Linked DNA regions of Xenopus tropicalis. The protein of the gene in region 1 interacts with the protein of each later gene in a biochemical or structural test. Links are inferred from orthologs where the notes say so. Each region holds a gene or a part of one and is shown on either strand. Other genes may lie near its edges.

Region 1 (2,911 bases):
TATCCTACATTATGCCAAAAAGTTGCGTTAGCAACACAAAAGTTTGTTTTGGTCTTGGTTTATTCTCTGAAAATATTTTCTTTCTCAAATCTGCAGGACGTATTAAGTCTGGTGAGAAGGAGACAGACCCTAAGACTTGGAAGGCCAATTTCCGCTGTGCAATGAACTCCCTGCCAGATATAAAAGAAGTAAAAGACAAAAGCATATACAAAGGTTCCAGTGCAGTCCGAGTGTATAAAATGCTCCCGCCTCAAATAAAGGCCGAGAAGAAAGGTAAATGCTTATTATGAGCCATATGTCACCATGCATCAGAAGCCATTATGATTTCAGGTGCACACATATCTTACATTACAGAGCCTGAAAATTAATATTTTTAATAAGATGTATAAAAGTAATGTCCTACCTCTTTTTGCTTTTGGGTTTGCTGAAAATTGTAGTTCAGTGCTGGAATGACCCTGGATATTTTATTTCATTCACAGAACGCAGATCCAAGGCAAAAGACTCCAAAAGCAAAGCCAAGAAAAAGGTACAGTTATTTCTGGAAATAGCAAACCAATGCTTTGTCAGAAATGGCTATAGGCATATATATATATAGCAGCTACTTGTGGCTTACGTGTGTCTGTTTCTTATGTTGTTGCAGACTGAGGAAGATGAGGAATCTGTGAAAACTAGCCCTTTGCCTGCAGACCACAGCTACACCTCTAATGTGTATACAGACCAAGAAGACATGGATTCTGTGGATGCGGCTGTAATGAGTACGTTTATACTTTATTGCATAAAATAAGTACAATTATTAGGTCATATATGAAGCGAATATGGGTGGATTTCGCTGGAGCCAGCTTACCTCACTTTCAGCATGTCAGAATAAGTATATACTTCTATTTAGGGCTCATGTACAAGCACAAGTCTTTGCTTTCCTTTTCTTATTTGTAGCAGCCTGTTGATAAATACCTGTTGATTGTTTGCTATGGCCAACTCAATTTGTACAAATTAGCCCCTATGTTTGTAAATCAGACCCTTGCGGTTCTAAATCATAGACTTAAACCAGCTACCAAGTAGCTATGGCATCTAGTATTTTACCCTTGGGCCCCAGGTTTTTAGGAACTCTTCCCCTTTGGCACTTACAGATTTGTATCTGGCTCATATTTCATTGCCTGGCTTCTAAAGGCTTCTAAACAGTGAACCTAGTGCAATATATATTCAGCTACTCTACCATAAAAAAATAAGTAATATATATATAATATGTGTGTGTAAAATATTTTGTGCTCACATGCAGAAGTGCTAATGTAAATGTTCTCCACAGGTATCAATGAAAGTGTCTCTGGCAACTTAGATTGGGACAGTCAACTTCAAATGCCATTGCCTGACAGCACAAATGACCTCTACCCTTTCCAGGTGTCACCCTTAAATTCATCTTCAGAAGGTAATTTGTGTGCCTGCTATGTCATATACAATATACAATTTTTATGAATGTCATAGGAATTAATGCCCTTGCCACTAGGCCTAGGAATTGAGGGCAGAAGCAGAAACAGGACCAGTTTTATTACACTGAAAATATAGCAGATCCAGTGAACCTCCATTACTATTTCATTTTAATGTGATTGTGCCATAAAAACCTAACCCCCAAGGCTGATAATGCATCTAAGGCTATTATAGATATTAGATGGAAATGGTCTGAAGCTGAATTAAATGTTTAGAGTATAAACACATTAAAGGAGAACTAAACCCTAAGAATAAATGTGGCCAGAAACGCCATATTTTATGTACTCAACTTATTGGACCAGCCTAAAGGTTCAGCATCTCTATAGAAGTAATGACCCAGTGCTTTAAAGTTGTCACAGAGGGTCACCATACTGGATTCTGTTAGAAGCATCTGCTCACATGCTCAGTGTGCTCTAAGCAACTGGGCTGCACTGGTTTCAGAGCTGCCATGCAGTAATAATTTTTTTATTTGCTAATAAGCCTTATATTTTGACCCTTATATTGTATATATACAAAATATACAAAATATTGTGAGTTGCCCCTAAGCTTAGTAACTAACAACAGCACAGAGCATATGCAGTGAATCAGCAGAAAATAAGATGGGGAGCTAGTTGGGGCATCTTTGGAAGCACAGATCTTCCCTGCTAAAGGGTTGTGGGGGCCTTGGGCTGGTACAAATCCCCAAAACATATTGTACAACATTTCTAGCTTGCTTCTAAGCTTTAGTTCTCTTTCAAGAAGATATGGGATATGACTAACCAACATGGAAAAAGGAAAACTACAGCCCCAAACACTGGAGGTCTCTATAAAAATATATTGCATAAAACAGTGACAGAGTTGCATTATTTGCATTATTTCCAGCACAAAATGGTGGCTTAAGGGAAAACATGCAAAAGAGCAATATTTACTGATATATATTGCAGTTTGGTAAGATTCTTTAATAGGCCACTAAATATGATATAAACTATCTGTTGGTTACGTATTCATTGTGGGGGTATAGTTTTCCATTAAATTCCAAGTGTTTATGCGAAAGCACAAAGGCTCACTTTGCAGAACAAGCTATGCTCATATGTTTTGCTGAACCTACATTATTAGAATACAAATATCCTCTAAATACCACTAATGCTACAAGTTATTTATTTCATTTTTTTTATTTACTTGCAGAGGAAGATGAATGTATGACCCTTACAGAGGACTTTCTAAAAGTAAGTAGCTTTCTTACATTTTTTGCTTGGCTAATGCTATATAGATAACTGTAATGATTCTACAGTATGCTAAGACATAATGTTTATCATCCATATTCCATCCTCTATTCCAGTTGTTAGAGCCAAGCACAGAATGGCAGCAGACAAGCATTGATGGCAAAGGGTTTTTCACCAATGAATCTGGCCTGCAGACCTCCTGCCTTACTGAAATAAGCTCTGCATTC
Region 2 (4,534 bases), on another chromosome or scaffold:
ACTAAGAATGATGCCTGCTTCTATCTGGTGGCAATAGCCAACCAGGGGCAGGTGCAGTTGAATCCTTATGGGCCGGTATGAAGCCAGTATGGTGTAGGGACAGGTCCAGTCCCACTGTGCTTGTTATCATTAGGTATGTGGGGGCGGTATTTGGGTGTGTGGGTGGCACATCTCAGGAGAGGGGTAGGGCGACTCCTGCATGGGACCAAAGTAGTGTTAAATTGCATTTGATCAAGTTTTTAAGTTTTTCACCTATGTTATAGAATGGCCTATTCTTAGCAACTTTCCAGTTGGTCTTTATTTTTTGTATTATTTGAATTATTTGCCTTCATTTTCTGCCTCCTTTCAGCTTTCAAAAGGGGGTCACTGACCCCAGAATGCTCTGCAAGGCTACAAGGGGAGATTTGTGATATAGAAGGGGTGGGGTGATGATGAAAGAGGGGGAACTATCTCTCAAACAGGATCAGGGAAAGAGAAAGGGTAAGTTTTAGGTGGATTCTGGGTGGTTTGGGGCTTTAGGGGAGGGGCCAGAGGCTGAACTGTATGAATTGGAAAGCAGGGCTGTTGATTTCTATAACATGGTGTATGCTGTTTGGCCAGGGTCAGACTAGGCACTTGCAGCGGCCCCCCTTCCCGACCACTCCTGCCCTGACGCATTAATTTTATACGCTCAGGGGAGGACGTCGGGTGGGCCCTTCACCCCCCAGTCCGACCCTGTGTTTGTCTGATTGAAAATGTAACCCCCCCAAATATTAAAGGGGATATCAACTCTCAATGAATGTGTTGCCTAGTTAAAAAAAGTATGACTTTCTATAGTGATAATATTTACAAATAACTCTTAATCCATTGAACATTAGTAACGTGGATTGGAGAGTTGCTTAGAATTAGCATTTTCTTTCATTCGTCAAAATATTATTTTTGGGTTTGTGACCCCTTTATGGTATATAGTCTGAGGGTATGTAACCCCCAGTATAATAAAGGGGATATAAACCCACAATGGATGTTTTGCCTAATCAAAGTATGACTTTCTATAGCAACGACATTTACAAATAACTTTAAATCCATTGAACATTGGTAACATGTATATTGGAAAGTGGCTTAGAATTAGCATTTTCTTTCATTAGTCAAAACGTTATTTATTTGGGTTTGTATATTTGGGTTTGTATCCCCTTTAATGTATATAGTCTGCTTGTATATATAAAAGAGGGTCAGGTTGCTGCCCCAGATCTCTATTATGAACATAGGCAGTGTATCCATGACTATCACTTAGTAATTAGACTGTAAGCTCCCCTGCACGAATCCCTTCCTGACACACAGGGATGCATATATTGCTGTACAGGGGCCAGTTAGGAGAAGTAATGGCACAGAGAAGTTACTACTTTCCGTAGCAATATAAGGGAAGTCAACTCACTTCCCCCTTTAAATTTAAAAGCAGCCTTTTCTTTGTGTCCCCAGTATGTAGCTGGGGAGCGGGTCTGGGTCCTAGGGTTCTTCTTCAGCTCTCGGGGGGCTTCTCATACAACAGGACCCAGGACTGGAAGTGCCTTCTACAGAGAGCGGCTAATGGCTGTGATTTGATTGGTGGAGAGAACAGAATGAACTGCAAATGGAGCACGGTGCCCTTTAAGGTAGGCTGAGCTTATTGGTGTTTGAAAATCTTCAACAGTATCTCTATCACAGGGGCAGCAGCGAGGGTGCAAGGGAAAGTGAATGTAGCCAACTGGAGGGCTAGGCCACGAAATTGGTTCATCTGTATTTCTTGTATTGTTTATAGGGTTTAATAAAATTAAGTTAAAGATCAATACAGCTGTTATATGTGGTGGCCCCTTAGGGCCATGCAGGGTTCTGCACCAATCTCAGTGTTATATAATTCTATTATACCAACATTGTGCCAAACCAGAGCGCCAGGTTGTACATTGATCCATTCCATTGACCCTGGCAACCGAAAAAAAACCTGACCATTACTGTTGTACTTATTTGTTGGGTTCATCTTTCTAATTAGGACCCCCCCCCCCGTTCAAATTCCATCCTGATTTCCAAAATGATACTGGGTTGCTAGGGTAATTAAAAAATTAAGACTGATTGTAGATTGTTTTCAAATACTACTGTCTATGCCAGGGGTCCCCAACCATTTTTACCTGTGAGCCATAGTTAAATATAAAAAAGTTAGAAACACAAACGTGATCCTAGCGGGTGCCCAATAAGGGCTGTGATTGGTTATCGGTAGACCCTTGTGGATTTCAGGAGGCTCTGTTTGCAGTACACATGGTCTTTATGCTTCCAAAACTTGCCTCCAAGCCAGAAATTCAAAAATGGGCACCAACTTTGAGGCCACTGAGAGCAACTTCAAAGGGGGTGAAGAAACAACATGTTGCTTACGAACCACTGGTTGGGGACCACTGGTATACAACATACTAAGAGTTTATTTCAAGGTGAGCTACTCCATTACAGAGATTCACCATACGTCTTAATGTGCTCCTACTTGAGCTTTATGAATAAGGTGCAATTAATGGTAACATACTAAGTACAAGTTGTGTGAATGTGCCAGTCAGCTACAACTTTGTGCGATCCATAATGAAGAGCTAAGATGCTGTGCAAGCCAGAGCTAGGTGCTACAAAGGGAGTCATATATAGTCTGTCAAATGCCCAGTGTGCTAGAACAGGGATCCCCAAACTTTTTTACCCATGGGCCACATTCAAAGGTAAAAAGAGTTGGGGAGCAATGCAAGCATAAATAAGTTCATGGAGGTGCCAAACAAGGGTTATTGGGTATTTGATAGACCCTCTATGGACTGGCAGGCTAAAGGAGGTTGTGTTTGTCAGTTTTTATGCAACCGAAGTGTGCCTCCAAGCAAGGAAATCAAAAATAAGGACCTGATTTGAGGCCACTGGGAGCAACATTCAAGGGGTTGGTGAGCAACATGTGAGCTACTGGTTGGGGATCACTGTGCTAGAATGTATGGTGATTTGGACTTTGCACCAGGCACCCCTCTCATGGTCAGATTGGCCTACACGAGTACTTGGTGGTCTCGAACCAAGGTCAAGCCAATTCCCATCAGCCCTTTCCTTTTTCCACCATAGGTCTATATGACTTCTTTTTCATTAGGCACTGTCTACACCTAATTGTTGTGAGCCCTCAATGTCAGGTACTTTGTTGGGCCCAGTCCAACACTGTCCTCCTTAAATGAGCCTTTAAGTCCTGGTGCCGTGCGTGATGGCTGGCTAATTTCTACATTCAGATGATTTCAAAATGTGGTCAATTGTGTGGAAGGGCCACTGAGGCTTTCTCAATTCCTCATAGAGAGGTTTTTCCTAATTTACTCAATAATCCGCAAAGCCGCTACTCATAACATTTTACATTGTTTTATTACCCACATGAAGCTTGAAACTTTGTGTGGTTCCAGTTCAGCTACGTTCAGTGCTGGTATCTTTTCATGCTGCCCATTTTTTGCCACACCTGCTGGAGTGCTGCCCCATGCATGTTTCTCTATATGCCTTATGGTAGAAACTATACTTGTCAGACATAGATCTTGTATTTTTAGTCCATTTGAAAAGATCCTGCCTCTTGACCATGTGAGAAGAACTGACCATCTGTTGGGTTCACATTCAAAGTGAGGTTGATTTCATAACAGTTGCAAAACATGAAACATTCTTGGAAAATAAACTAGCACAGCACCTTTGGTAGGCATCTGGGATACCAGTTGGTCATGGACTTTGACTAAATTGGCAGCCTATAGACCTATATCCTTATATTTCCTCTTAGAAATAGGGCAGGGGTGGCACCATTTAACATTTTACGGATAACCAATTCAGTCCCTGGGCTTCTATATCTAACGCAAGTTCCATCATCCATGTTATTTTATGGTCTGTACTTGTGGCAATGAGCCTTTAGTTCCAGTTGGTTGGAAGCTTCTAAGTCTTGTGATCCCCCTTTTCCTCTCAGGGACAACCAAGAGGATATTGTCGATCACAAGAACCCATGTGGCATAAAGCCTATAGGCAGGTGTTTATGGGAGTACAAATTGTACTGGGCAGAGTTATGAAGCCAAATGCTTATTAGAGTAATATTAAACTGGAAAATTTAGGTCAGAGGAGGGGGCAATGCTTCTTTGTGGACCAACATTCATTTAGGATCTACTTAACCTATAAAAAAGTAAAGAAATATGTGTTCACACCATATATTATCTTAATAGTGCTTCTAGGAGAGGCAGTAAACATTAGTCCTGAATGGCACTCCAATTAGCCCTCAGAATGGCAATTTCAGATTGGGAAGGGCATTTAGTCAAGCGCAGGCCATAAACCTAAAAACGGAAGGGCAGCCAGTGAAATGTTCATAGAAACTGGGTTGGAAAAGCAAAAAGAAAATATTGACATTCATCAATTATTATTTTCCTGAGACAAATTAGAGAAAATAACCATATGACAGCATTTATGTTCCAATAGTTTGACCAACAGAACAAGCCTCACAGTTGCTTTGTTATTGCTGGAAGTTTGAAAGTAAGCTGGTTACTTTATAAGAAACATTGGAAACATG

What was found.
Region 2: the proteins of irf1 (region 1) and spi1 form a complex in vitro, tested with the Homo sapiens proteins (2 studies listed by BioGRID). The link is inferred for Xenopus tropicalis from reciprocal best matches to the Homo sapiens genes IRF1 and SPI1.

The regions. Positions count from the first base shown.
Region 1 is NC_030679.2:36,223,127-36,226,037, forward strand, and holds part of irf1 (interferon regulatory factor 1), read left to right. Parts: intron 1-96; coding exon 97-273; intron 274-479; coding exon 480-526; intron 527-640; coding exon 641-755; intron 756-1,303; coding exon 1,304-1,423; intron 1,424-2,646; coding exon 2,647-2,687; intron 2,688-2,800; coding exon 2,801-2,911. UniProt on the Homo sapiens protein: Transcriptional regulator which displays a remarkable functional diversity in the regulation of cellular responses.
Region 2 is NC_030680.2:15,892,226-15,896,759, reverse strand, and holds the start of spi1 (transcription factor PU.1), read left to right. Parts: upstream 1-1,452; 5' UTR 1,453-1,595; coding exon 1,596-1,628; intron 1,629-4,534. UniProt on the Homo sapiens protein: Pioneer transcription factor, which controls hematopoietic cell fate by decompacting stem cell heterochromatin and allowing other transcription factors to enter otherwise inaccessible genomic sites.